Linked DNA regions of Coturnix japonica. The protein of the gene in region 2 interacts with the protein of the main gene of each other region in a biochemical or structural test. Links are inferred from orthologs where the notes say so. Each region holds a gene or a part of one and is shown on either strand. Other genes may lie near its edges.

Region 1 (7,708 bases), on a different chromosome or scaffold from region 2:
TAAATATAGTTCTTTCATCATACATTCACTCAGTCTTTCAGAACACAGAGCACCTAAGCACATTATACACACTTTGCTATAAACCTGACACAAACCTGAAGTGAGCAAGGGCACGGATCTGAAACTAAACCACAGCGGGCAGTAAGCCACCAGCACTACTTAGGAATTCAAGACCAGCTGGACAACCAGAAAGATCCAGAGGTTATAGACTGCTTTGGCACAGAATGATTACACTGCATCTAGGAACAGATGGAGCAGTAAGTATTTATAATTCTTCTAGTTGTTTCCCTTACCATTCAATTCGACTTCTGCCTGTCTGTGATTGACTCAACCTAAACTGAATTTCAGTTGTTGTTTTCAACCAGATCCCCTGCTTTGGACAGGTAGTGAAAAGCAAGAAAACTGTGCCATTTACATCCAACTAAAGGGGAATGTGGACCCAAGCAATAGCCACACAGATGCTGCAAAGCACTCTCCCCATAACTCCACAGAAAAACTATTACAGTCCACTTCTTCTCAGACATCTCCAAAAACAAGTCACATTTCAAAGCTGGCTTAAAAAACTTACACTGCAAAGCTGAGATACAATGTATAACAGCTTGGTGTTATCCTTAAATACTACCAAGCAAAATCAGAAATTATACCGCTAATGGCTCACAGTATTTGCATCACCCACTAACAGTAATCAAAGGTAGATGTTCAGAGTTTAAGACATGATTCACAAAAGCAGTAGCTTGTTACAATTAAAATAAATAGCCTATAGTTTTTAGAAGCAAATCAGCATTATGTGTTTTACAACACTCCTGGACACTATGCAGTGACATTTATGAGCACTTGACTACTGTTGTTTCATCAAAGAATCAATCAGTAAACAGTACGTTTACGTGAAACAGTGTAAAATCAGTAAAGCGGAAGAGTCACATCTTCAGCTAAAATAAACCAGAATTATTCTGTTCACATGGGAGAAGACAAACACAGAAAAGCTGAGAGACTCTGCCTTTGTATACTCAGATACATAACTTCACTGTAACTTGAAAATCTTCTAGAAGGTAACTTGTAGCTTGGACTACAAACCACAGAATCAGAAATACTGCAATGTAATTGCTTATCCAGATACTTCAGTCAGATAAAAACCCCTAGACGCTGCCTTAGCTGATTGTCTAGCCATCTACCAGAGGCTGGCTGCATCCTGTTGAAGAAATTCCTATTCCCACTGTGTAGCTGTTTCAGTTTTCCACGAAGAAACAAACTACTTAAACTCACAGACTAAATTCCCCAAGAACACTGAAACAGCACCAAGAAATGACCACCTACCAGCTGGGGATGAACATACTAACCAGCCCCATAGAAGTCATTCTAAGTCAGAGTTCATAGAAGTTAGGTTAAGCTATGTCACCAGACTTCAATGAAGAGGCCAAAGCACAGCCATGACCCTTTCCATTGGATTTGCTACAGAAGCCAACAGCCTTCAAGAGAAAAGGAGGGCAGGCACGACAGTTGGAAGTTTACTGAACTGCCTTTTAACCCCATAGCCATGGTCACCACTAACAAATCTGTCAATGCCCAAGATCAAGCCCATGTCTGCTGCACACGTAGGTTCTATTGTACATCCAGGGCACAGCGAACTGTCTCATGACAGCACTGATTGATTATAGATTAAGTTTCCATACAGTGACCTTTTCTACAAGTATTAATGATGATTAGTGAACATCATCTTCGTGTCAGACTCTGAAAAACAAAAGCCACAATTAGAGGTAGGCAGAGGGAAAGGAATTAATTACAGGTCTCTATTTAGATGGGGAAGAAAAGAAGGAAGAAAGCTGTTTCTTACTATGAGTTGTTTAAAATAAAATATCAACAAAGATGAGGCAAAGGCATCATTTTCATGACAAGAAATGTTCTTAGCATTTGCCCTAGAGATCCTGGCTCTAAATGATTCACCTAGGTGCTGCAACCCCACAGTAATGTGCAGGGACACACTCAGAGCAAAACGTTTATCCACAAGAAGAGTAGACTTTAAATGTGTTAGAAAAAATAAAAACAATTTTCAGTCTTAGTCTTCTAATCCTGCTACACCAGCAGACTACCAGAGCTGTGTCTGAAGAGCCTTGCTTCTTTCTCCAAAATCATCCTTCCTTATTTTATGGCTTGCAAATAAGACATAAACTGTTCTCTGCTGCCATTTTCACGACAAGCGGTCTTTATGTTGTAACACTGTTCTTCTCATCCCGCTGGAGGATCAACTGAACAACTGAAAAATAAGACTGATACAGAAGAGATGTATGTCCAAGAAACACTCCATACAGAAAGAACACACACGCACGCCAAAAAAGAAAAAAAGAAGGAAAAAAAAAGGTGTTTTAACAAGCAATCTGCAAAGATGTCCAAATTCATTTAAAGAATAAAAGTCTTTTTCAGTTTAGGATTGCTAGTTCACAGCAACACTGATAGTTCAGGCCATGAACACTGATGGAAGAAGTGCAGACCACGCGTATTGTGACCTTAACTTCAACAAAACCTGAGAAAATATATCTAGAAATGTTAATTTCATGTACACCTTTGTCAAGAACGTATTTCATATGAGTGTTAGCTGGAGCACTTTTTCCTCTTGTCAACTTCAAGCCTCAGGCGTTGGTCAAAGCGTTTTTCAAACTTCACAAGAAATGCTCACAGACCACTTCAGAAATGAACAAAAGAAAAGATCTGAGACTACTTTGAACACACTCTTCTGGCGCATATGTTCTATGAAACACCACAGAAACACCAATACTGAAGCTGAGACATAACAACTCATGAGAGAAACGCTGGATTTAATGAAGCTTTAACCTCACCTCTGTCACGTCCACGCATTCTGTGTGATACACCCAACCCTGGATGTATTTTAAAACGTTCATTATTCGATCTTTCCTTCTATTGCTGACACAACCCGGTCTTCACCGCTACCACTCTCCTACATCATTTTTCGCACAGAATCACAAAAGGACAAAAGAAAAGAAGTCAAAGACAGTAAGGGGGCAATTAGGCTCCCGAAGAGAAAGTGTGCCTCGATTTGCATAACAATGCCCGGCTCACACGGCAGCGACGGCCCCACCTCGGACTGGTGCACTACTGAGGGAACTCGGCTCCGAAACGTGTGTTTGCCTGGGCCACAGAGGCTGTGGGTAACGCTAAACGACACGAACAAACTGGAAACAAAAACAAAAGAGATTGCAAATGGCACAAGGCGGTGTCACAGGTCCTACGTCACTTTTTTGCAGAAAGCGCGCACACTACTTCCAGTGGTAAAAAAAAAATAAAAAATAAATAAATAATTAGATGAAAACCGATCGCTGTTTTACCGTTCCCTTTCTCCGGTTATTTACTTACCCAAAGTATTCGCGGAAAGACAAAAAACGCGGTGTTCACCGAAGTTCGGCGAGGCTGCGTGTCGTCAACAGCCGATGCCGAGGCGAATCGCGCGGCCACAACAACCGACACGGAACGAGACTAATTACTTAATAACGATGCGCGCTTCGCAGAAAGCAAATTGGAAAGGAGAGGGAGGAGAAAAAAAAAAAAAAAAAAANAAAAAAAAAAAAAAGCATTTAACGGTAACTTCGGCTGCAGCGTGAAGGACCGTAACTTTCCCAGCTGTGCACAGACTGCCATTCCACCATGACAAATTTGGGGGGGAGGGGGAGCAGTCAGAACCCGAAGCCCGTCCGCTCCGCTCCGCTCTTCGCCGTCGGTCCGGCCCCGCTCGCGGGCTCCCGGACGGCGTCCGCGGGACCGCTACGCACCGCCCGCGCGGGGCAGGGCAGCGCCTCGGCAGCGCCAAGCGGCTTCCGGCCCGGCCGAGGAACGTAGGCCTCGGCGAGGCGGCGGGCTGCACCCCGCCGGGCCCCGCGCGCCCCTCCGGCCTTCTCGGAAAGTTTTCGGCACGGCCCAGAGGCTGCACAGCGCAAGGAGACGCGGCCCCGCTCCGTCCCTCCGCCCGGCCGGGCCGTGTGGCTCCGTACCGCGGCGGGGTGCGGCGGCGGGCGGGCTCCCCCGGGGGCACGCCTCAGGGCAGAGCCCGGCCCCGAGCCCCGCCGCCCCGCGCCCCCGCCACCATGTCACCGCCACCCAACGCGTCCGTGCGCGGAGGGGGCCGCTTCCTGATCGTCCGCCGCCGCCCCGGCGAGGACAGAACTTTTCCAGGTGCCGAGCTCGGCCGGCACGGCAGGGCGCTGCGCGGCGCCGCGTCCCGTACCGGCGGCTGGTCCGACCGAATTAAAAATAAATAAATAAATAAATTTCCGCGCACACCGGAAATAAAACGCTTTTCGCTTGTTAAGGCGATCGCCAAACCGCGAGCGCACGTTGTGTGTGTCTGTGTGTGTGTGTGTGCGTATGTCGCTGTGCGGGGCGGGGGCCGGGCAGGCGCGGTGCCCGCGGGGAGCAGACCGGAGGCAGCGGAAGCCCCGCGCGGGGCCGCGGCCCTCCCTGCCTGCCCTCCCTCCTCCCTCCCGCGCCGTGACAGGCGCCCAGCCCGCGGCCTCCCGCTGCCAGCAGCGCTGCGGAGACAGCCCCGCACCGCGCTCAGCCGCAGGACGCCACAACTTCCCCGAGCCACGCAGCCGCGGTGGGGAAGGGGCGGGCGGCCCCGGCCGCTGCTCCGCACTCCGACTCCGTCCCCGCTGCGGACGGAGCCAAAAACCCGCGGCCGAACGGCGCTGGCGGGCGGTCTCTGTCCCATTCCCCGGCTGGCGGTGCGCGCGGGGCTTATTCCCCCGACACCGCAGCCAAACTTTGTTCTCCCCGCGCCGCGCTGGCGGTGCGCACACCGGGGCGTACCGGGCGGGGGGCGGCCGGGGCTGCGCTCCGTGAACGCGCGGGGCGGCGGAACGGAGCTGGCGGGTACGGAGCTGACGGCGCGGGGCCCCGCGGGGCGAGGTGCGTTTACCTTCCGCTCGGGCGGAGCGCCGCGCCGGGTGTCGCGCCGCTGCCTCTGGGCGAGCAGCGGAGCGGGGACGGAGAGCGGCTAGGCGCCGAGCATGACTTCACCGGTGACAGCCATTCCCTCCGCTTCCCAAACTCCGGCCCCGCCCACGGCCCCCTCCGCCGCCTCCCCGCGCCGACGCCGCCGCTGCTCAGGAAGCGCCGTTCCCACTGGCCCGCCGGCGGGGTCTGCCCGCCCCCCAGCGCGGAGCCGGCGCCCCTATTGGCTGCCGCCGCCCGTCGCTCAGCCGGGAGGCCGTAGGGCGGGGAGGTGCGGTATGCGCCCGGCTCTGCCCGCGACAGCCGCGCCGCCGCCGAGGCTCCGCCACGCCGCCTCCCGGCCCGCCCGCGCGGAGCGGAGCGCGGGGCTGGGGCCACCTCCGTGAGGAGGCGCCGGCGGGCGGCGTGGGGAGAGGTGGAGAAGGTGCTGGAAGCGCGACGCTGCCCCGCGGCCTGCCTGGGCCGGCCCGCCGCCGCGGGGCGGAGCGGGGAGGAGCCGGGCGGAGGGCGGCGGGGCCTCCCGCACCTGGCGGTGTGCGCTGCGGGACACCTGCGGGAAGGGACGCACACACACAAACAAAAAGGCTCGCGGAAACGCGATACCGAAACTTCGGGGCCGCAGCCGTGGCGCGGTCAGGAGGCGGCCGAGAACGTTCAGGGCGGTCGCCCCCTGTCCAGCTGCGGTGCCGAGCCCCGCCGGAGCCCCGTGCCGCCGGGAGGAGCGGCGGCGGGTCGGTGTCGGCACGGTGCGGGCGGGTAAATGGCGCCGCCGTGCCGCTCCTTGTCCCCCGCTGTCGGCACGCTGCTCGCTCCCCGGGCCGGAGGGGCTTTATCCGTGCCCGGCCACGTACCCACAGGAGGCGGCGCGTCGCCGGCGCTGTTTGCGGAAGGTACCGCTGTTTATGTAACGGCGCCGCGGGGCCGCGCTCGGAACAGGCCGTCACGGGCTGCTCAGACATAAGCACGCCGGCAGGCAGAGCGCGGCTGAACGCGCGGTCCTGACTCCGAGGCTGCCGCTGTGCAGGTGATGTGCCCGTCCTACTGCGGGCTTTGCAAGAGATCAAGTTTAAAGTGAAGGAAAGCGTGCCTCTCCCCTCTGCCGCCTGCGTTTAACGTGCTGGAGTTGGTGACTGGGTTTAAGGACCCGGAGCACCGGCGGGTGTTATTCTGTGGTTGCTTTGGACCTTTATTGCTGGTGGAATGTGAGCGGTAACCATCCGGTTATAACCTAGCGATGCAGTGTTAATGACTGTTGTTGCTGTGTGTTCTGAGGCGTCACCGCTCGATCATTAGCTTCGTCTTGATTGTTTTTCAGAGTGACTGCCAAAATACCGATAGATAATTGTCAATCAGTGGTAACGCCGGGCAACGCCGAGTGTCCAATAAAACGACTAGGGAAGGTACTCAGTTCGTCACTGTTTTTGTGGGCAGCATCGAGGTGCAGACGAAATAAATGGAAACGCTTTCAGTTCTGTGTATACAAGTATCCACTATCGCTGCTTGAAACTGTGATCCACGAGTGATGTGGGACTTAATTTTAAACCCCACTTTATAAGTAGCAGTCCAGCTTCTTTGAACTGAAAGAACATAGTTCAGGCTTTTAGGAATTGATTCTAACGCAGCTGAAAGGATTCTCCCTCTTTCTTTTAATTTTTGTCATACCATAACTATAAACAGGTATTTGGTGGGCGGATTCTTTGCATGTTTGTTTTTATCTATTCCCAGAGTCAGTCTGTAGGCCCTGCACTTTTTGCAAAGAGAAAGCAAACCCCAAGCAATGGAGGGGAAGCTTCTGTGCTGTGCAGGGCAGTATTCAAACCATTACAAACCAGCTCGAGCCAGTTTCTGTGGGTTGTGTTTTTGGGGGTTTTTTTGTTTTGTTTTTTTATGGTTGGCTGTTTTTTAGTTGTTTTTTGTTTGGTTTTGCTTTGTTGTTTGCAAGAAAGGATACAGGGAATAAGGAAGGAAAGTAAAATTAGTCTTACAGGCAAAAGCTGTTCATTAGGCTTTTAGATAAATGTAACTATGTTTAATTAATAATTGTCTTTATTTTAGGGGGTCACTGGTAGCCAATTCTCTTGCCCATTTGGGACAACAAAACCTCAGATATTGTTAATGTAAAACTTTTTCCATTTGGTCGTTGGTAAAGTATGAATTAATCTGAGTGTAAACTGACTGACAGGTTGGATTTATTTCTTTTGTCAGGATTAAAGATATTCAACTAAACTGGCAGATCATTGTCATAGGCTGCAGTTACAGTTGTAGCTGTACCTACCATTACCTCAAAAGAAAGCCATGCTGCAACAGTTTGTGTTCTCTGCCAGCAGTTACAGCCATTGCAGCAGAAGTGGCAGAAAATAGGGGCTTGCTTTCTTGATTCTTTGTTTTGGCACCTGAGTCCTCAGCAAAGTCCAGCTGCTAGGGTTAGATGGACAGTGAAAATGAGTTAAAGCTACCACATTCCATGAAGGTGGCTTCGTGCTCAGGTTTCTATGCAATTAACAACAACAAAGACTTATTATTTTTTAAAATGTACCCAAGGAAGCCTTAAGTGAGCAAGGTGAAGTCTTGCCTTAAGAAAACAGATGCCTGATGATTTCTGATTGCTGTTTTGGTAGAGAGTATTCACCTCAAAAAGCAAAAAGACCTATGTGCATGCTTGAACTTTTATAAGTTTTGAAAGGTGAAAATGGGGTGAAGATGGGATATTTCTTGCTGTATGGTGAGGTCATTTAGATCATCATCTGGG
Region 2 (7,663 bases):
AGAAGCTGCGTGAGAGGGTGAGTGTGGGGGCTGCAGGCTCCTGGGGGCTGGCAGCTTTAAAAGGGAAAGAAAACGAGCCACGTGGGAGAAGATAAACTTGGTTGCTGCTTGGAACAATATGCCCGAAGATCTCTGCTGCTTGAGCTGAGGAGAGCCCTCCTGCCGGCTGAGCTGAGTGCCCATGCCTGTCCTCTGCAGGTGCAGATGGTGAAGATGTCGGAGCTGAAGGAGCATTTGCCCCGCGAGTGCCTTCCCGAGACCCTCGGCGGCTGCCTCAAGCTGGACCCGCTCAGCTGGAACTGCCGCTTCCTACCGCAGCAGAACGGGCACCCCGACCCCTTGGATGAGCTTATCCTGGTGCCACTGGTGACCCCTCGTGACAACGGCTCGCTCCACGTGCCCGGCCCCAAGGCTCTCACCCCGCAGGAGCTGCTGGAGCACGTCAGCCGCAAGCAGAAGCGCGGTATCTATGAGGAGTATGAGGACATCCGGCGCCGGAGCCCGGCCGGGACCTTCGTCTGCTCCTTGTGAGTTGAATGGGGTGGGAGGGGCAGCGGGAAACTGGTGCACGCTGCTCCCGGGACTGCAGCCAGGTGATGGCAGCAGAGCCCCGGGCATTGCCTTGGGATGCCCTGCTGCCCTGCCCTGTCTCTGCCCCAGGGCGCCCTACAACCAGGAGAAGAACCGTTATGGGGACGTGCCCTGCTTGGACCAGACCCGCGTGAAGCTGGCCAGGCCCTATAGCCGCCCTGAGGTGAGCCCCCATTGCATTCCACCAGCCCATCCCTGACGCCCAGTATCTGGGTTCTCACTCGCTTTGCTTGCTTGGAGCTGAGCCCAGGGGTCATGCTGAAGCCATTCCTGTGGTACACTCATGCCGTGTCATTGTCCGCAGCTGACCGACTACATCAACGCCAGCTTCATGGATGGCTACAAGCAGAGGAACGCGTACATTGGGACACAAGGTAAGGGCTGTGTGTTCACACAAACATAGCATGGCCTGGGTTGAAAAGGACTGTAATGATCACCTAGTTTCAGCCCCACCGCTATGTGCAGGGTTGCCAAGCAGCAGCCCAGGCTGCCCAGAACCACATCCAGCCTGGCCTTGAATGCCTGCAGGGATGGAGCATCCACAGTCTCCTTGGGCAACCTGTTCCAGTGCATCACCACCCTCTGGGTGGTTCTCACATCCATGGATGCCCAGGGGCTGCCTGTCCTGCCCAGCCCCACTGAGTGACAGCAGGCTGTCCCTGCAGGGCCCCTGAAGAAAACCATCGAGGACTTCTGGAGGCTGGTGTGGGAGCAGAACGTCCTGGTGATTGTGATGACGACTCGGTGAGTGCCCTGGGTGGCAAAATGAAGTGGTTTTGCTATTGGATCAGCTGCTGTCACAGCCAGAGAGCAGCTGATGGGACACAGGGCACCACACGATGCTGGCAGGGAAGAACATTATCCCCGTGTCACCTTGTCTCATCCGCAGGCTGGAGGAGGGGGGCAGGAGGAAGTGCGGCCAGTACTGGCCCCTGGAGAAGGATTTCCAGATGCGCTTTGGGGCGCTGACCATCACCAACCTGGGCGTGGAGAACCTCAGCCATTACAAGAAAACCATCTTAGAGCTCCACAGTGCCGAGGTGTGTGCTAAGGTTATGTGCTAAGGTTGTGGCGGGGCTATCCCATCCCACTGACCACCCCACTCACCCTTAGGGCAAGGAGCGGCGGTTGCTCTCTCACTTCCAATACCTGAGCTGGCCGGATTACGGCGTGCCCTCATCGGCAGCAACACTCATTGACTTCTTGGGGGCTGTGAAGCAGCAGCAGCGTGTGGCTGTCAGTGCGTTGGGACCACGCTTCAAGGGGCACCCGGGGGGTCCTCCGCTTGTGGTCCACTGCAGCGCCGGCATCGGCAGGACGGGTAAGGAGTCCAGCACAGTCCAGCACAGGGGGGGTGTTGCATTGCATTGTGTTGGCTGAGCGTTGCTTGCCTTCATCCCCAGGTACTTTGTGTGCGTTGGACATCTGCCTATCGCAGCTGCAGGATGTGGGTACTCTGGACATCCAGCAGACGGTGCAGCGGATGAGGACACAGAGAGCATTCAGCATCCAGACCCCGGAGCAGTATTACTTCTGCTATAGCGCAGTGCTGGAGCACGCCCAGCGCCGCGGCCTGCTGCCTGCCGCCCACAAGGGCTCGGCCGGGCACTGACACAGCCCTGCCAGCTGGGAACTGTGCCTTAACTTCAAGCAAGCCGGGGCAGGAGGGACAAAAAGAAAAGGAGGGGGGGTGGGTTGGGATGGTTTATTTTCTTATGATTTTTATTCCTTTTTGGTCTGTTTGTTCGTTTCTCGGTGGGACCATCTAGACTGTACGCAGAACAGCCCTGAAGGATGGGGGGGGGGGGGTTGTGTTCCCAGCGCAAGCTGCTGCATCGGGAACTTTATACTGTAATAAGCTCTTGGAATGTGTATATTCTTATTTTTTTATAATCCCGGAGCGTGGGGGAGGAGCTTTTTGGGGGTGTTTTTGTTGGTTTTTTTTTTCCCCTGTGGTATTTAACATTAAGCGAGCAAACCGAAGAGCGATCTCACCTCCGAGCTGCTTTCTCGTCGCTCCTCCCCACATCAGCCCCCCGAGGGCGGTCCGGCGGTGACGAACGGCCTCGTAGGGCCAATGGGCCCCGGGGGGAGTTCCCGTTTCCATTCAGGACGCCTCGCTGCGCGCTCAGGGTATGTCACAGGGTATGTCACAGCGCTGCCCGCCCAGCGGGCCCCTCATGTGGGGTGTGATGGGATGGGAAGGCCCGGGGAGCTCTGAGGGGGGAGGAAGCGAGGCGCGCTCCCGCGCTTTTCCCGCCCGCCCAACGGTCGCCGCGGGAGCGCGCACGAGTGGGGGGGGAGCGCGGCTGTGTGTGTGTGTGTGTGTATGTGAGTGTGTATATGTGTGTGTGTATGTGTGTGTGTATATGTGTGTGTATGTGTGTGTGTGTGTGTGAGGGGAGGGGGTGGGGAGCGCCCGCTCCGCCGCCGTGCGGTCCCGCCCCCCGCGGCCATTGGCTGCTGGCTGTGTTCCCCCCCCCACGTGCTGGCTCCCGGAAGTGGTGTGGGGTCGGTGGGACAAAGGCGGCGTGGCGGTGCGTGCCGGTCCCGCGCGGTCGGTGCCGCCGCCATCACGGCCCGGTCCGCCCCGATGTAAACATCCACAAAAGGGCTCCCCGGAGAGGGGGCGTGGCTTTATACCCCCCCGCGACGTGACGGCGGAGCGGTCCGCCGCGCTGATTGGTTGCTTCCTCAGCCCGCCGCCCAATGGGAAGGCTGCGGGGGCGGGAGGGGGCGGGGCTTGCCGGCCGTACGGACATTTTTCTCGGGTCTCGCTCCCCCCTCCCCTTCCTCTCCACATCCCCTTCCTGGCGGCCGCGGCCAATGGGGGCGGGCGGAGGGGGCGGGCCGAGCGAGGCGATTGGGCCGCGCGCTGAGCGACGCGTGGCTCGACCAATCGCGAGGCGGGTCTCCCCCCTCCCTGCGGCGGGGAGGGGCGGGATTTCCCGGGGAACAGAGAAGCGGGCAGCGTTCCGCCGCGGCGGCCGAGCGGCGGTTACACACATCGGCGCCCCGAGCCTCCCCCGCGGGCCGAGCGCGGGGCTCAGCGCAGCGCCGGGACGGAGCGAGACTCCGCCGGGCACCGCCGCCTCCAGGTGAGGGGAAAGGCGGCATCGGGGGGACGCGGCGCCGTGAGGGGCTGAGGGGGGGGGAGCAGCCATCCGGCGGGGCGGGGCAGGGCAGGGCCCGGTACCGCGCTGAGCCCTGAGTGTGTGAGTGTGAGTGTGTACGTGTGTGTGTGTGTGTGTGTGTGTGTGCGGGGGGAGCCCGGCATGGCGGGAGCGGCGGGCGGGGCGAGCGGCGCTGGGCGCGCTGCGGGACGGAGCCTCCCGCGTGTGTGTGTGTGTGTGTGCGGGGGGAGCCCGGCATGGCGGGAGCGGCGGGCGGGGCGAGCGGCGCTGGGCGCGCTGCGGGACGGAGCCTCCCGCCCATCGCGCCGCCCACTACGCGGGGCCGCCTCAGCCCCGCCCCGCCCCGCCCCGCCCGGCTCAGCTCGGCCCAGCAGCGCTGCCCTCACGGCTCCTGCTTCCTGCTTTGGAGGCTCCTCTGGCGCTTCCAAGCGAGCACGAGGAGCCTGTGCTGATTCAAAGCACCTGTAGGATCCTGCTCCCACACAGCATCACAGCATGACCCGGGTCGGAAGGGACCTCGAGGATCACGTAGTTCCAACCCCACAGCACGGCGTTAGGAACAGCCCCACTCCTTTCCTCCCCACCCCCCCAGCTGAGGGGCAGCGTGAGTAAAGCTGGGGCTGAAGCAGGGAGAGCGGCCAGAGGGCACCCAGCCCTTCCTCTTACACAGGTCCCTTCCAAGCCCAACTTATGCATGGTCACTGTGTCCAATGGGGGCATAGAAACCTTCAGCACGCCCAGCGAGGTGGTACATAAATAAGAACGTGATCCCGTTGCGTTTAAGCCATGCACAGAGCGCTGCTGTGTACGGGTGCTGGAAGACATAGCTCACGCTGTGCTCATGGCCACCAGTCTGCTGTGAGCTTGTCGGAAAGGCATAACCATGACAGGAGTGAGTTGCTCACCTTCCTAGCATGTATGAGCCATACATACTGGGAAGCCATCGTGGCTGGTGAAGCCAACACAGTTCTATGGCTGCTGTTCCATGCTGCAGGGCTATGGGTGCACTCTCGGTGCTGTGCTGCTTTCTCCCAGCTCCCCTGGCTCTGCTGTCACAGAGTGGCTGCAGGTACTGCTCTCATTCTGCCTGCATGTGAGAAGGGAGACCATAGGTAAGGATGCCAAGGCTCGAGGAGAACCCACATGGCAGGGCATACCACGAGCAAGCAGCCAGGATGTCACCTCTCTGATCCTGAGCCACTCATGGGCTGCTTCCAAGCTTTGGGTCCTTTCCACCTTAAGAGCAAACCATCCTCACTCTACACAGCTCAGTCCAGGTACTAACGCTTAAAATTCAATGTGACAGCAACGTTGCTGCTAATGTGAGGATCTGTGAGTTTGGGGTGTCCTTCCAGCCTGCTCAGGCAGCAGGTGACATGCAAAAGTGTCCCTCTGCTTGGGATTTGTCCTCATCTCTGGCTCTTAGTGGCATCAGAGCTCCTCTCTAGAGGTTCATATTCACAAGGTGCCTGTAGCTGGCATTCTGCAGCCTCCTAAGGGCTTTAAAGCAGCTCCTGCAAATCTTAGATGCTTGACCGGCAGCTGTGCTGTTCCCCTGTTTCAGGAGTGTCTCGGGTTTGCATCTGCAAGGTCTGAAATCTCTCTTGTGGGGTTGGGTTTCACAACTTGTTCTTGAAAGCATCATTTGTGTGTGCAGAAGTGTTGTGGCTCCAACAGGTGTCACGCAGCAGACCTGCACTATTCACTGCTCTCCTGCAAGGGGAGAACTTACAGCCCAGGAAAAGGAAAGTGAAAAAGCTTTTATCCTCCTGTGGAGGGGTGTATTCCTGTAAGGAGATGCTCTGATTGAAGTTAAAAGATAGATTGGTGCTGGGAGGGAGGGGATGCAGGTCCATGTGGTCTCTATAGAGTGGAGCTTGCTCTGTAAAGCCATTGCTGAGCATATAGATGGATGCTCTTATTGGAGGACAGTACCTAAAGTTTGTGGCTTGCTCTCAGTCTCACCCAGACCATGCTGTATTTCGCAGTCTTTATTTTTCCCTCCCCAATTAAGCATCGCAGATGATGCAATTTGAATTGGGGCTTTCTAAATGCTTTGAGTCAAAGTCCGCATGGAGAATGCTGCCCATCATAGGGCTGTGTTCCATTGCTCTGAAAGCCATATGGTAACCATAGCACTGCTTGTGATGTCACTCTGTTCTGAGTGATTTTGTGGTCGTAGTTACCCTCGGAATACCATTCTGCAGCAGGTACAGCTTGCTACATTGCAGTCTGCCCTCCTAACAGAGCAGATCTGTGGGACACACCAGGTAAAGATCAGTGAGACCTCAAGGGATGGAAGGAATGTGCTTTGGGAGCGTTTGCCAGCACGTGTTTCCCCGTGAGATGCAGGAGCTGGGGCAGTTGCAATGCTTGGCTGTTGGCAGAGCCCAAGGCTTCAGTTCTATGTTGGTGTAGCCTTCTAGAAATGGATGCCACCAAGGCTTTGCCCAGGGCCTGGCATTGTCATGCAAAGCACTGGGATTCACTGCCAGCCTGCTCTGCTCGGTCCAGGCTCCATTAGCATACAACTAGAAGTTTGTTCAGAGCTAAAGGCTATGAGAGCAGCTCCCTGTGAGCCTGGGAGGCTGTTGGTTCGTCCAGTAGCTGAGCACAAAGACACCTGGTGCAGTTACAAAGAGCTAAGGGAATTGCTGGAGCATGCTCAGAGTATATTCCAAAGCTTTGGGGCTGGTGTTCTGGGAGGTGTAACTTGCAGAGCAGCTTTAAGCAGACTTAAAGCAGGCAGTTCTTCCCACCATGTGAAAGGAGCTGGGTGAGGAGCTGGCTGCCACGTGTATTGCTGGCAGTACCTTTGTATATTTCTCCACTAGTTTGGTCTGTTATGTTGATGATGGGTTTACACTGCCCTGTACACTTACTTTGGGGGAGCTTGTGTGTCTGTGGCTGAAGGTTTGCTTTGGAGAGGGCTTGCTGTACCAAGGCAGCAAGGCAAAGCTCCCTGTCCTCCTCCTGTGCTCTAAGGCATCTCTGATGCCTGAATCCTATCCAGCCTGGGCTGCCGAGGAGGTTCAGGATGGGCTTTGCTATCAGTGCCAGAACAAATCCTCAACTGGAAAGCAGGGCTTTATTTCTATCAAGAAAGCTGTGTGTTTGCATTACACGTTTCATGCAGAATGCTGAATCTTAGTTCTGTTTCCCTATCTTAAGATAGCAACGTAAAGGAATCAGCACGAAACTTGTCTTACCTGCTCCTGGCAAACTCGGTGTTCCCAGCGCTGGCAGGGAGTGGTTAATCAATGTCCCTCTTTAATTGCTCTGTTTCTCCCAGGTTTTTTAGTGCTTCCCGAGCATGAGTTCAGAATGAAGCGGCGATTGGATGAGCAGGAGTCACCCGTGTACACGGCACAGCAGAGACGTATCACCAGCAGCACCGACGCCTTCCAGCACCAGCACCGTGTGCTCGCCCCGGCACCACCGGTGTATGAGGCAGTCTCAGAGACCATGCAGTCTGCCACGGGGATCCAATACTCGGTAACTCCCAGCTACCAGGTGGGTCTTCTATATCCTGGAGGGGAAATTATGGTTAAGCCATTCAACACGTTGCTTTTGCACAGCAGAAGTCCAGGATTGGGACAAGGTTTTGGGAGCCTATGAACAGGAGGAGAGTCAACTCTTTGAAAGGGGAGATAATAACAGCACAAGGGAAAACGGTTTTAAGTTGAAGGAGGGGAGATTTAAGTTGGATGTCAGGGGGAAGTTCTTTACTCTGAGTGTGGTGAGGTGCTGGAACAGCTGCCCAGAGAGGCTGTGGATGCTCTGTCCATCCCTGGAGGTGTTCAAGGCCAGGTTGGATGGGGCTCTGGGTAGCCTAGTGTGGCATTCAATGTGGAGGTTGGTGGCCCTGCCTGTGGAGCTTCATGATTCTTGAGCTCCCTTCCAACCTGGGCCATTCTTTGATTCTGTGAAGCAAATTA
Region 3 (6,359 bases), on a different chromosome or scaffold from region 2:
CTGCCAATCAAGGGCCTCCTACTGTCTAATTGCATCCAGCTTGTGGGCACTTGCAGGGATGCACTATCACCACCACTTTCACACAACAAAAAACTCAAAGCATACCACCGAAACCCTTTTATAACCCTATGTACACACAAACTGTTGATGCATTGTTAATTTCTTTCGCTTTCTTTTTTTTTCCATTAAAATAAAGCCCCTGGTTCAAGGGGTGGCATTGCTAGTCAACTTTTCTCTCCTGAACCACCTCTGAGTTTCATGTTCCTTGAGAGATGCTCAGCCCTATGAGAAACCTCAGGGGAAACTTAAGGACACCACTGTAGGACTTCACCCACTGTGTTACAGCACAGGGTTGGGAGCTCAGGGGGCGGCGGGGAGCACAGAACACCCTATGTACCTTTATGTTCAGTGGATACTGCATGACGGCATTGAACAGAAGGAACCTCACGTCATAAATACAACACCCCAAACAATCCAACGTTAGGAAGAAGGGAAAGGAAAGGGGACAAAAACGGTTGGAAAAAATAAAAAAAAAAAAAGAGAGAGAAAGAGAGAGAAAAAAAAGAAAGTCTTAATCCTTTTAATAGTTCTTTTGCCGAGGGCATTTTCACCTCATTAAAAAGATACAGTCAGAAGGTCTTGGTCAATGGGAGCATGGCTCGGACCAGTTGCTTGTGCTCCACAGCCCTATGCTTCATTCCTCATGTCTCGGCCACGTGACTACTTGAGAAGCGACCCTCAGGCAGCCCCCAAGAAAACCCTCAGAAAGCTGGAGGGGTGCTGGCCACGTTCCCCTCCCATCCTCAGAGTCAGTATGTACAACGAAGACGACTTCAATGCTTTTCTTCTTCGTACGATCCCGTACCTAAACACCGAGCGTCCGTCCCATTTGGTTGGCCAACGTGCCAACATGGGCCGAGCAGACGGGGAGCCAAAGGTCCCAAATCCCACCCGCTTGGGTCTCGCAACCCTCTGAGCGCTCGGGGAGCGATTTGGGGTCATCACCGCTGTGCGCTGCCTTCAACGGGGAGGATGGCATGGTGCAGGTTCCGTGCGTGCTTGGAGTCGAGCGTGTCGTGCTCCTCCGTGAAGCTGTCTGGACTCGCTGCTCCATCCAAAGAGCTTCCACAGCTGGAGTTCGGAGACAGCATGTCCTGCAGGAGGTCTTCCTGGACTATCCCCGAGTCTTTGTTCACTTTGCCCCTTTGGTTTCCTTCCTCCTCCTGGTCGTTGAGCAGCTTGGCCAGGAAGTTGATGTATTTCATCGCCAGGCGCAAAATCTCATTCTTGCTCAGCTTTTTGTCAGGTGGATGCGTGGGGATGAGTTTGCGGAGCTCTGCGAAGGCTCCATTCACGTTCTGTTGCCTCCACCTCTCCCGGCTGTTGGTGAAAATACGGCGGACCACCTTCGTGTGGGGACCTGCAATTGCAATGGCACACAGTTATTAGCAGTGCCCACCGGGTCATAGAATCACAGCATCACAGGATCATTAGGATCGGAAAAGACCTCTGAGATCACCCAGTCCAACCATCCAGCTACCACCAAAACTGTCCTTAACCGTTTCCCTCGGTCCCTCGTCTCCGTGGTTCTTGAAACTCCACCACCTCCCTGGTCATTTAATAATTTGCTCATTTCTCAAATTACTCAATTTATTTTAGTCCCATCATCAAGGCACAGGACCAGGAGTGAACTAGCAGGAAGCTAACCAAGGAGCTCACCAGATAGCTTTATTTTTCTATCCCAAAAGTCACATCACTGGGACAGAAGAAATAGGCATAAGCCGAGGCTTTAACAGCTCTGAGATCCCAATATCTGCCTTCTGCCCTGATGTCACTGGGATCAGAAGCTGGCAGAGATCACCAGTTCTCTGGGTGCTTCATGTGATGGGGCAGCAGGACTCGCCCTGGTGTAACACACAGTAGAAGTCCTTGCCCGAAGGGTGACCGTGGGAGGAAGACAAAGCAGCCATATTCCTGTAGGGCATGTAACACAAGAGGTGTTCCTGTGCTCAGGAATACAATCATCCGTTCTCCCTCTATCAGTTCTCCTTTCAGCTCATCAAGGCAGCTCCTGATGGCTTGAGGTGACATTGCCTTAATGCCGGGAGAGACCCACAGCAGAAGTCAGCCCAGAAGTAAAGTCAAGACTGCAGGTCCTTGTGTCCACAGAAAGCAGTGTGTGGAAGGAGGCATGCCGTCAGCCACCTCCATCCTCACATCCAGGACTAACTGGCAGTGGAAGGACACAGCAACCACAAGAAACTATGGGAGAATGACTGTGCTGGAAAGAATAGGGAACATCACAGGCAGTGAAAATCACCACAAATTCAGAAGCAAAGTTTTTCACTTAACACACTGATGAGTTGCACCCTAAAGGATGGTCTGTGGGATTCCTATCACACCCCATCTCTCCTCTTGTGGGGATCAAAGTGACCTCAGCCAACAGAGCTGCCTGGCTCTGCTGAGTGCAGTGACAACATGCTGCCATCTCCTACAGCAAGACAATTCCTGCTCGTAAATGCTCTTTCTGGACAAAACAGAGCACACAGCCCTGGATTTAGGAGGTGCAGCTTAACATCTTGTAGCACTCATAAGGGAATAAGGAAAAAAAAAATATGTGGATCATGTTAATTATCCAAAGATCTCAATCTTCACAGGCTTCCAACACATCTCACTCACAGGAAGCTGCCTACTAAGAGTCATCACCTCATAAAATGCTGAAATCAAACATCGACCTGCCCATTTGCCTCCCCAAACAAGATCAAGAATAGAACAAATTCTGAAGCCACTGCAATGATTGATTCTTACATCAGTGCCAGCAACTGAATTGAAGAAAGAATGGGTTCGGGGTGTAGTGTGTCAAGCAGTGGAAAGATTTAAAATACCCTTTAGCTGTATTATAATGGAAGGGCTTCGTTTCTCATAAAGAAGCCCCCAAATGAAGCCAAGCAGTTGGCTGCAAAGTTATGCCTGGATTTTGTTCCAATCAATGGGTTGATCAATGCTGGTTGAATTGTTATCCTAATTACAGACCTGAAGGGGAAAAAACAGCAAGAAGAAGAGCTTCCAAAATGACAGAATATCCTCTCAGATATTTTCCCACACCTCCATATCCACGTGTGTGTGTGTTTTGTACAGGGTGGCACCATCACTGTGTGCTCTCCCTGTTCCCTGCATACCCCCGCAGTGTGCCTTCACTATCTGAGTCCCCAGGAGCACAGGGACAGCCCAGCAGTGGTGACATGTGCTGAGTCTTCATGTCCATCCAGTACTTGTATTCCCCCCCCCAAAACTGACCCTAATTCTGCAGACTGACACGAGGTGGGATCTGCAAGATTGGGCCCTACCTGTATGCACCTGGGGCCAAAAATGTGGATATAATCAGATATTGTCCCACTTTGCAGAATACAGAGTGTCTATTTCTATAGCCATAGAATCATTGAGGTTGGGAATGACTGCAAAACCATCCAGTCCAAACCACCAACCCATCCTCACCATTGGACCCCACACCTCAACACAGCCCCAGTGCCTTCCTCTATTCATCTCAGAGGGACCCGTGGGGCCGGCTGCCCCCAACCAGCTCCTCACACTGTGCCCAAAGGCACCAGCCACGCTGTGTGTGTTGTGCCTTCCCCAATAAGGGGCACCCGCTGCATCCCACCGTATTCCCCCTTCACACATCGGGCTTTTCCCCGTACTCACCGTCGGTGATCTCCATCTCGTAGGGCGACGGTCTCCTTTTCACCCGGTTGCTGCCGTACATGGAGAAGGAGTCCGGCTCGCCGAAGAACCCGCTGCAAACAGAGGCAGAGCGGCGTGAGGCGGCCCCGACCGCTCGGTAGATGCTCACGGAGCCCGCAGCCCACGAAGGATGTAAGAGGAGCCCGGCGTGGGATACACGTTGCGCCCGTGGGGCCATTTACCGTCCCTGGGGCTGAGCAGGGGAGCTCCGGGAGCCCCGCACAGCTCAGCCCCTTATGCCCATACACCACTACAGGACCACAGCGAAACGCCCCATCTCGGCTCTGACCGTGGTATTTCTGCCAGGCTTTCCCTCTCCCCCCCAGCTCTAGGAACGACAATTTTTCAATTTTTCGTTCCGTTCTTCTGCTCTTTTTTCTTCTTCCCCCCTTTCTTCCTTTGCAAAGTTTCCTTTCTTTTCCTTTTTTTTTTTTTTGTTTTTTTTTTTTTTTTTTTTGGCGATGACTCAGCCCTCCCCCAAACCCCTTTCCCCCAAACAACCCCCTTCCCCAAACAACCCCCTTCCCTCTTCTCCTTCCCCCTCAATCCCGGGGACGCGGTGGGGGCCGGGGGGAGGCACGGACCTGCCGATGGTGCCCAGCGGTTGCCCCAGGTTGTAGAGCATCGCCCTGCCGGGGGGCTGCAGCGGCAGCGCGGGGGGACTCAGCTGCACCATTCGGGCTTCGCAGGCGGCTTCGGCGGCGCGGCACGGCTCGGCTCCCGGCGCTCTCTGCATCGCCTCCCCCGCCGCCTCTCGGCTTTTTATGTCCAAGGAGCCCCCCCGGCGAACCAACTCGATGACGGGCACGGCGGCGGCGGGGGGCCCGGGGGAGGGTCGGCCCGCCTCTTTGGCCGCCCCGTTGAGCAGCAGCTGGGGCTCGGCCGGAGGCTCCATGCCCCCTCGGCTGCTGTCGGGCTCGCTCGTGGGCTCCGCTTCGGGGTCGTGGCGGCGGGCATCGCGGGGGTCACTGCTGGGGGGCGGCGGGGCGGGCGGCCTGTCCATCGTCCTGCGGGGAGAGCAGCGCTCGGGGCGGCCCGAACCCGACAGGGGGGTCCCCCCGCTTCTGCGGCGTGATGTCACGCAGCGGTGGCGTGACGTCACGGCAGAAACACCTCCAACCCCCTTCCCTTGTACCCCTGTACCAATGACCCTGGAACCCCCCCCATCCACACACACACACCGTACCCACAGGGGCAGGGAACTGGAAGGAGGCCGAGGGTTCTCCCCGCTCAATTTTGAGGACATTTCGGTCCATTAGGGGGGATTTTTTACTTTATTCGTATTAGAATAATTGTTATTAATTTTCAACATGGAAACCAAGCTCCAGGCGCTGCCCAATGGAGGGGAGAAACGCTCACACAAAGCCCCGCACCCCCATGAGCTCAGCAGGAAGGAGGAAGGGGCCCCGGCTCGGAGCAGCCGCGGCCGCGCACGGCAATTGTCTGCGGCCCCGCTCCCTTCTTTCTCCCCTATAACGAAACTATTGCGACAGAGCCGAGGGCGGGCAGCGCTATCGCGACTATTTCTCCTTTTCCCACCGCCCTCTTCGCTCTTTCTTTCTTTTTTCTTTTTTTCTTTTTTTTTTCCTCCCTATAAGTAACGGTGCAAATCTCATTCCCGACATCCCCGCTGCTTCGCTTTGGGTCAATAATTATCATTTCTGGGTTGATCCAACCCCAGAGAAAATTATTATTATTATTATTTCGATCACACCTCTCCATCTGTAATAATAATAATAACAGTCATCATAATATCAGCCGTTCAACCCAAAGCTTTACCGCCTGCCCCCGCCCTGCCAGCCCTCCAGAAAGAGCATCTAATTGCCTATTCCCATATTGTATAGGAAGAGATTACTCACATGTGTCATATTTAAGTAGGGACACCGCGAGTCTCTCCCGTTTCAACAAAAGCGCTCTCAGTGTCAGGCTGAATTTACTCCTCCCACCTCGAGGTACTTACGACTTTACAGAGAGGAAGGACACCCGCATCGGGATAAAACTGCTAAAGCCTGGGAGGAAGAGAAGGGGGGGAGAGAAAGGGAGAGAGAGGGTGGGTCTGGGGGACACGGGGATGGCACCGAGGGGACGGGGGCACCGCGCACAGCCCCGGCACACGGCCCGTAGTTATAAGGAGAGGGGAGAAGTGGTGTCTTTGGGGGGAAAAGGATGAGAAATTTAAGGGGAAAGCTGGTATATTTGGGGGGAAATATAATATATTTAGGGGAAACATTAATAAAGAAAATTTAAAAAAAAAAAAAAAAAAAAGAGGGAAAAAAAAACCACGCATATTTTGGGGCTGAATTAAGTGGGGTTTTGTTGGATGTCTCCTCGGGAAGGAGATTTAGGATGGGGTCGGGGTTGGTTTGTTCCGACGGGGCCGCTAATAGCGGCGGGGCCGCTGCCGGAGCCGCGGAGCTCAGCGCGGAGGACCGGGGCCGGTGTCCGCCCGTAGCGGCCCCGCTGCGATCAACAGGAAGGAGAGATCCGTGCCCCCCCACCCTCCCGCAGCAAAATGCCGAGCGGGGGCTTTGCTCTTCGTTAAACAACGGAATAAACCCGTCGGCTTCTCCTTTGGTGTTTTTCTATTTTCTTTCGTTAAAACGAAATAAACCCAAAAA
Region 4 (7,637 bases), on a different chromosome or scaffold from region 2:
TGGGGAGGGGGTGAAGGCGGAAGTGGGGGGCGGCGCCATGGGCCGCAGCCGGTCCCGTTCGCCGCCGCGTCGCGGTGAGGAGATGGGACGGGAATGGGGGGGGGTGAGGGGGCGGCTGGGTACGGGGTGGGGGTCTGTGGGCGGACAGGAGCCGGGGGGGGGGTCCCGGGGGGGCTGCGGGGCCTGGGGGTGAACGTGAGGCCTTGCCCGGGGCCTTCATCATCCTCATCCTCATGTCCCGTTGCCCTCAGATCGCCGCCGATCTCGATCCGCTTCTCGGGACCGGGACAGGAGGAGGAGGGAACGGACACGATCCCGGGACCGGGACAGGAGGAGAACGAGATCCCGGTCCCCGCATCGGCGGAGATCCAGGTCAGGAGCCCGGTACCGTTATCTCCGTTCCCTTTATCTCCGTTCCCTTTTATCTCCGTCCCCTTTTCCATCCCCGACCCCGTTCCCCGTTGCTCCGGTTCCCGTGATTCTGATCCGTTCATACCGGCCGTTTCAGGTCCCCCCCCCCCCGGCGGCACCACTCCAGCTCGTCCTCCCCGCTGAGACTGAAGGAGAGACGGGACGAGGAGAAGAAGGACAGTAAAGACACCAAAGGCAAAGAGCGGCAGATCACGGGTGAGCCAACATCCCCAACAACCCTTATATTAACTCATGTTGGGGTTATCGGTGCTGTGAGCAGCATTGAGGGGCTCTTTGGGACTTATTGAAGTGCTTTAGAAGTGTAAAACCACCGGTTGTGCTGGGTGATGGTGGGTGAATCCCCCTGTTTCGTTGCCTTTACAGAGGAGGATTTGCAAGGCAAGACGGAGGAGGAAATCGAGATGATGAAGATGATGGGCTTCGCTTCTTTCGACACAACAAAAGTGAGTTTGCTGGGCTCAGAGCTGCCTTTCCTCACCCTGCAGGGCTGCATTACAGCACAGTGTTGCTTGTACCCCAAAACAACTCCCCCCGTTGCATTGCACCCATTTGATGTGGGGTTTCTCCTTCACATCCCGGAGCTGTGGCTCTGTTTGCTTTACGTGGGCAGCTCTTGGTGCTACACACAGCTCTGCTCTTTCTCCTCTTTCAAGGGCAAGAAAGTGGACGGTGCTGCAAACGCATACGCCATCAACGTGTCCCAGAAGAGGAAATACAGGTTTGTGCTGCTGTGATTGCACTGAATCCACCTGTTTTCATGTGATAAAACAGCACTGCTGGGAAGGGGGGGAGATAAAACAGCATCTCAGAGTCCAGGTTGTCTATGGGCACAGTGAGGAGCTGATCTGTTCCTTCTCCTCTCCCCCACAGACAGTACATGAACAGAAAAGGAGGATTCAACAGACCATTGGATTTCATCGCTTGACGCTGCACGGAGCAGCTCTGCCTTGTTCACACACCTCAAAGGTGGGACAGGACTCCGTCACTCCATCCTCAAAGGGATTTTGGGGTCATTTAGAGCAAATCCGGGTGCTCTCGCTCTGCCCTGCACCGAGGGAGGGTGAACTGAAGCTCATCGATCTCGGCTCCGTTTGCTCCTCGCCAGGATTTCCTGCTGGTTCTATTGGTTGTTGTGTTATTTTTTTTACCAGCTCAGCATCGTCTGATTCAAACCCATCGATATTTTTCCCTTTCCTTTCTGGTTCATCCCCAATCTCCCTTTATTATAACATCACTCAGGAATAAAGTCAGCGAGAAAACGCTGCTGGAAAACCCACCCAACAGCTGATCCCCAACTCAACCTTTGGGATTTGAGCTGAACAAACTCACTTTGCTGCTTCTTTGTGTGTTCAATGGGTCACCCCAGGGTTGGGCAGGGATTCCAACCCAAACCTTGGGCAGGGATTCCCCCCATACAGGGATTCCCATCTCAGCTCTATGTTCCCTCAACCCCAGGAGGTGGCAGCACAGCCCTACAGCCAACATTGCTTTCAACCCCATCTCAATCAGCACATAAACCTCCCAGCGATGCTTTAAGATGAGGACATGCGGATCCAGCCCGGAGCTGAGCTTTTTGCTATGAGTTTTATGGGGTTTTGTGCTATTTTAGGGCAGGTTTGACTTAGTAAATCCAGCCCTTATTGGTGCCGGTGACTCACCCGGGCTGTCAGTGCCATACGGGGCTGTGTTGGTGCCCTGTCATCACTGCGACACGCCTGGAGCCCTGCGATAAGGCCCCGCTGCCAGACAGGGAATTCCCAACCCCCCCATCCCATCATTTCCTTTATCTCTGTGCTAATTAAACCTCATTAAACCAACCTGCTCAAAATGAGGAGAAAAAAGCCCATTTGTTTGGCCACACTTAGATGTGATGGGTGCTTTCATGAAGCCCCCAGCCCAATCCCCCCCCATTCACCCCCAAACCCCCCCAGCCGTGTTCTGCTGTTCAATGGGGTTCTATTTAGGGCCGCTGCATTGGGGGCGTGTTCCCCTTTTGACCCCCCCCCCCCATTAACACACACCCAGGTTTATCTGGTTTCCGTGCTGGGGGGGTGAGTCACCCCAGGGCAGGGCTGGGTTTCGGGGTGTGGGGAGGAAACAGCCTCCCCCCCCCCAAAAAAAAAAACCCAATTCCATCCCATTGGGCTCTATGGGGTGTGGGGGGGGTCCCTGCTGTGGGGTGAAGGGCGGCACCTTTGGGTGCTGGGGGAGGACTATAGGGGTCCCAGTTAATAGGGGTGGCTGCTTATAGGGGCTGCCTGTTTCTTATAGGGGCTGCCTGTTTCCTATAGGGGCTGCCTGTTCCTTATAGGGGCTGCCAGTTTCCTATAGGGGCTGCCTGTTCCTTATAGGGGCTGCCTGTTTCCTATAGGGGCTGCCTGTTACTTATAGGGGCTGCCTGTTACCTATAGGGGCTGCTTGTTCCTTATAGGGGCTGCCTGTTACCTATAGGGGCTGCCTGTTACCTATAGGGGATGCCTGTTACTTATAGGGGCTGCCTGTTCCTTATAGTGGCTGCCTGTTTCCTATAGGGGCTGCCTGTTACTTATAGGGGCTGCCTGTTTCTTATAGGGGCTGCCTGTTACTTATAGGGGCTGCCTGTTACCTATAGGGGCTGCCTGTTTCCTATAGGGGGCTCCTGGTTCCTATGGGGTCTCCATCCTTTATGGGGTCCCCCCATACCGGGGTCCGGGGGGTCCCGGCCCTACAGCCCCACGTTGACACTTGGCCACGCCCCCTCGCCCTCTTCTCGCCCTCCCATTGGCTGCGGGAGGCAGGAAGTGAGTCAGCCCCGTTGGCGGCTCGTCCAATCACAGCGCGCCTTCCCGGAGGGCCCGTCTGATCGGCGACAGCGGGGAGGGGGCGGGGCTTCCATCGGGGCCGAGCCAATGGCGGAAAGGCGTGTCTCACAGCCAACCAATGGCGAAAAGAGACGGTGGGGCGGCATCCAATGAGAGGCGGCGGTGGGCGGAGTCGGCGGAGCGGCCGGGCGAGGAGCTCAACCCGGCCCGGCCCGGCCCGGCCCCGCAGCAGCGGAGATGGCGGCGGGCGGAACCGACGGGGCCGGTGTCGGGTCCGGTATCGGGTCCGGTATCGGGTCCGGTGTCGGGTCCGGTATCGGGTCCGGTATCGGGTCCGGTATCGGGTCCGGTGTCGGGTCCGGTATCGGGTCCGGTATCGGGTCCGGTATCGGGTCCGGTGTCGGGTCCGGTATCGGGTCCGGTATCGGGTCCGGTATCGGGTCCAGTATCGAGCTGCTCCTGGAGGCTGCCGAGTACCTGGAGCGTCGGGAGCGAGGTACCGGTATTACACCGTGTGTCCCCCCCCCCCGGTTCGTCCCGGTGCCGCCCGGCGCTGCCCGCTCCCGTTGTGTCCCCACAGAGGCCGAACACGGCTACGCCTCCACGATGCCCGGACATGGAGCAGCGCGAAGGGACAGAACGAGGAGCAGGAACGGCCGGAGGAACGGAGGGGGCGGAAGGTAACGGGAGGGGGGAGGGGGGCAATGGGGGCACATAGAGACCCATAGAGACCCATAGAAACCCATAGAGAACCATTGGGACCCATAGAGACCCATAGAGAACCATTGGGACCCATAGAAACCCTATAGAGAACCATTGAGACCCATAGAAACCAGATAGAGACTCCATATAGACACATAGGAACACATAGAGACCCATAGGGACCCATAGAGACCCATAAGGACCCATAGAAACCCATAGGGACCCATAGAGACCCATAGGGACCCATAGAGACCCATAGGGACCCATAGGGACCCATAGAGACCCATAGGGACCCATAGGGACCCATAGGGACCCATAGAAACCCATAGGGACCCATAGAGACCCATTGGGACCCATAGAGACCCATAGGGACACATAGGGACCCATAGAGACCCATAGGGATCCATAGGGACCCATAGAGACCCATAGAGACCCATAGGGACCCATAGGGACCCATAGAGACCCATAGGGACCCATAGAGACCCATAAGGACCCATAGAGACCCATAGGGACCCATAGAGACCCATAAGGACCCACAGAGACCCATAGAGACCCATAGGGACCCATAGAGACCCATAGGGACCCATAGAGACCCATAGGGACCCATAGAGACCCCATAGGGACCCATAGAGACCCATAGGGACCCATAGGGACCCATAGAGACCCATAGGGACCCATAGAGACCCATAGGGACCCATAGAGACCCATAGGGACCCATAGGGACCCATAGAGACCCATAGAGACCCATAGAGACACATAGGGACACATAGAGACCCATAGGGACCCATAGGGACCCATAGAGACCCATAGGGACCCATAGAGACCCATAGGGACCCATAGAGACTCATAGGGACCTATTGGGACCAATAGGGACCCAAAGAGAGACATAGAGACCCCATAGAAACCCATGGAGACCCCATAGGGATCCATAGGGACACCGCTGTCAGCCGGGGGTCAGCAGCTGTCACAGGGCTCCGGGCTGGGGGGACGTGGAAGCAGAGGGCACTGCCTGCACCAGGAGATTGGGATCTATTGGGGCCTGTTGAAATCCCATTGCCATGGGGGGGCTGTGGGCTGTGGGGACCTTTGGGGACGCCGCTGTCATGGGATGCTCAGTCTATGAGGATTCCATGTCACAGTGCACACAGCTGAAGGTGCAGTCACACAACGTGGCAGGCAGAGATGCTGACACTGAGCTCTTGATTTCGGCCTTTGCTTTGGATGTTGCCTTGGTGTGGTTCTTGTGCCCAGGTTCCATTTGGGGGCTCTTAAAGTGGCAGATGAGATTCAGATCCAAACCCCCACAATGGGGAGGAGAGATTGTGCCCCTAAATGTGACCCATGGCCAATTCCTGCCGCCCCTCCCGGCTCCTTCCTGCTGTTTGCTCAGGGAGGAGCAGCTCTGCCATCTCAGGGCACGGCACCACGTCCTGCTCCGGATCACGTCGCATGGGGACGGGTGACCTTTGCCAGCTGTGACAGCAGGACGTCCCCGTCCCGTCAGCGAGCGCCCAGAGGTTCCTTAATGGGGAGATAAGGAGCTTCGTTCCTCACTTTAACATTGCTCACAAGGAATGGGAGCAGCAGGACTCGTGCTTTGGGGCTGCTGGTTGTACCTTAGAGATGCGCTGGAGTTGTGCTCTGCTCAGTTTGGGGTTGGTGTTGGGATGAGGAGAGCTTCCCCTTCCTGTGTGGTGCTGCTCAGCGCTGGTTGGGCCCCTTTGCTTCCTCCTCTCCTTTACAACCACTCACCCGGGGGGGTGTGTTGGGTGCTGCTGCCATCCTGTGCTGTTGGTGCTGCTTTGTGCTCCCCATAACCAGCAGCGAGCCGTCCCCATCCCAACCACCTCAGTGGGGTCTCCCTGACACTGCCATCTCTCTGGGTATCTCTCCCTATCCATCCCTATGCCACCACATTTATCATCCTGGGTGCAGTGACCCCTCTGCAGACCCCCCCCCTGCTGTCTGTCGTCCTCCTGGAGCCGAGCATTTCACAAAGTCCTCTTTCTTTTTCAGGTCGACTCACAATGAGATGGAAAAGAACAGGTGAGAATGGGCCGGGACCCACACGGGATCTCTTCTCATTGCACATCAGGGCTGCCCCTCTCCTATTCCAGAAGGAGCCGTGCCATGCTGTGCCCCTGGTACTGCTTAGTGCCCACCTGGGGCAGGCAGCTGGAATTTCCCTGTGGCATTTTCACCCCCTAGAAAGGGGTTTAAATCACACACCTCCCCCTGCTGAGCTGCTGGGGTGCAGCCCAGCCTGATGGAAAACAACCTGAGTGAGGGCTCAGCTCAGTTTGGGATTGACCCCAGCAGCACAAGCGCGTGTTTTGTTGGCAGTGTCATGCAGGAGGCACTCAGTGCAGGCAAATGCCTGTTTATTCGCATGCGGAACGAGATAGGCAGGTCGTTGCAACATCCCCATCTGCCCTGAGTGTGTCAGTGGGGTACGGCACAGGAGGTGTTGCAATGGGAACGGAACCGGAATATACTGAGCATGGGGCATCCTGCGCTGCAGGAGGGAGCGTGGAGTGCTGCACGTTGCCTGCTCCTGACCCAGAGGAGGCTCGAGGGCCGTGCTGTGTTTGCAGCCCTGTGCTGGATGTAGCTGGAGCAGTTTTATTTTGCTGTTCCTGCGCTGATATAGAGGTCAAGATGCTGCGTGGTGTTGGGGCACACTGAGCATCTGATGGTTTTCTTGCAGGCGTGCCCACCTGCGGCTGTGTTTGGAGAAGCTGAAGGTGCTGGTGCCGCTCGGCCCCGAATCCAGCAAGCACACCACGCTGAGTTTACTCATGAAAGCCAAATTGCACATCAAGGTGAGTCTGGCTGCACCAGAAGTTTCTGAGGGAGGGCTCAGACAAAGCTTTTCCAAAGCCCTCAGCCTCGCTCCTGCTCTGTTGGCACCATGTGGCTTCCTGGTGTGTTGACTGCTTTATGGTTTGCCCTTTACACTGTGACTCTCACTGAGCACATTTGGTTTTATGAAGCAGCAGATAACCATGGCGGCACGGCGGGACTCAGCCTGCGTGCCACTGGTGCCTTATCAAGGCCTGGAAATAGAGAAAAGGGATAGAGAAAAGCACTGCATAGAAACCATTCAGAGGAGGGAGCATTGTTAGTGTGCCAGCTCTCTGCTATGGGGTTGTATCAGCAGCAGTCTGGCTCTGAAGGGGTCTGGGAGATCTGGGCAGGCTGATGTGGTGGGTGGTGAGCAGCCCATGGCATGGGTTGGGGCTGGAGGGGCTTGGAGGTGTGAGGCCATGACTCTGATCTTTAAGGTTCCTTCCGACCCAACCATTCCATCCTTTTCTCCCCCTGCAGAAGCTGGAGGACTACGACAGGAGAGCCCTCCACCAGATTGAGCAGCTGCAGCGTGAGCAGCGGCACCTGAAGCGGCAGCTGGAGAAGTTGGGCAGCGAGAGGATCCGCACCGACAGTGTTGGCTCCACTGTGTCCTCGGAGCGCTCCGACTCGGACAGAGGTGAGACCCACACATCTGTGGGTGACGTTTGGAGGCCTCACTGAGCTCCTTGTGATGCCGTTTGCTTTCTGCTTGCAGAAGAGATCGACGTGGATGTGGAGAGCACCGACTCCCTGCCCGCAGACCTGGACTGGAGCAGCAGCAGCCCCAGCGACTCGGATGAGCGCGGCAGCCTGCAGAGCGTGTGCAGCGACGAGGGCTACGCCAGCTCGGGT

Evidence for each region.
Region 1: the proteins of SIN3A (region 2) and SMARCA2 form a complex in vitro, tested with the Homo sapiens proteins (2 studies listed by BioGRID). The link is inferred for Coturnix japonica from reciprocal best matches to the Homo sapiens genes SIN3A and SMARCA2.
Region 3: the proteins of SIN3A (region 2) and TAL1 form a complex in vitro, tested with the Homo sapiens proteins (2 studies listed by BioGRID). The link is inferred for Coturnix japonica from reciprocal best matches to the Homo sapiens genes SIN3A and TAL1.
Region 4: the proteins of SIN3A (region 2) and MXD1 form a complex in vitro, tested with the Homo sapiens proteins (4 studies listed by BioGRID, with this or other methods). The link is inferred for Coturnix japonica from reciprocal best matches to the Homo sapiens genes SIN3A and MXD1.

Annotation. Positions count from the first base shown.
Region 1 is NC_029547.1:23,945,144-23,952,851, reverse strand, and holds the start of SMARCA2 (probable global transcription activator SNF2L2), read right to left. Parts: upstream 5,078-7,708; 5' UTR 4,925-5,077; intron 3,511-4,924; 5' UTR 3,367-3,510; intron 3,186-3,366; exon of another isoform or gene 3,092-3,185; intron 2,951-3,091; exon of another isoform or gene 2,832-2,950; intron 1-2,831. UniProt on the Homo sapiens protein: ATPase involved in transcriptional activation and repression of select genes by chromatin remodeling (alteration of DNA-nucleosome topology).
Region 2 is NC_029525.1:1,981,266-1,988,928, reverse strand, and holds the start of SIN3A (paired amphipathic helix protein Sin3a), read left to right. Parts: upstream 1-2,669; 5' UTR 2,670-2,726; coding exon 2,727-2,736; intron 2,737-3,525; exon of another isoform or gene 3,526-3,689; intron 3,690-5,901; exon of another isoform or gene 5,902-5,995; intron 5,996-7,017; coding exon 7,018-7,238; intron 7,239-7,663. Other genes in the region: PTPN9 (tyrosine-protein phosphatase non-receptor type 9), read left to right, coding at 1-17, 199-527, 661-754, 896-965, 1,257-1,335, 1,481-1,631, 1,705-1,912, 1,995-2,203. UniProt on the Homo sapiens protein: Acts as a transcriptional repressor. Corepressor for REST. Interacts with MXI1 to repress MYC responsive genes and antagonize MYC oncogenic activities. Also interacts with MXD1-MAX heterodimers to repress transcription by tethering SIN3A to DNA.
Region 3 is NC_029523.1:19,449,619-19,455,977, forward strand, and holds part of TAL1 (T-cell acute lymphocytic leukemia protein 1), read right to left. Parts: intron 5,751-6,359; exon of another isoform or gene 5,603-5,750; coding exon of another isoform or gene 5,601-5,602; intron 4,749-5,600; coding exon 4,326-4,748; intron 3,795-4,325; coding exon 3,703-3,794; intron 1,421-3,702; coding exon 1,002-1,420; 3' UTR 1-1,001. UniProt on the Homo sapiens protein: Implicated in the genesis of hemopoietic malignancies. It may play an important role in hemopoietic differentiation. Serves as a positive regulator of erythroid differentiation.
Region 4 is NC_029537.1:820,769-828,405, reverse strand, and holds the start of MXD1 (max dimerization protein 1), read left to right. Parts: upstream 1-3,401; 5' UTR 3,402-3,470; coding exon 3,471-3,729; intron 3,730-3,813; coding exon 3,814-3,913; intron 3,914-5,951; coding exon 5,952-5,981; intron 5,982-6,642; coding exon 6,643-6,757; intron 6,758-7,262; coding exon 7,263-7,422; intron 7,423-7,500; coding exon 7,501-7,637. Other genes in the region: SNRNP27 (U4/U6.U5 small nuclear ribonucleoprotein 27 kDa protein), read left to right, coding at 1-74, 252-374, 512-627, 796-875, 1,086-1,150, 1,303-1,357. UniProt on the Homo sapiens protein: Component of a transcriptional repressor complex together with MAX. In complex with MAX binds to the core DNA sequence 5'-CAC[GA]TG-3'. Antagonizes MYC transcriptional activity by competing with MYC for MAX binding.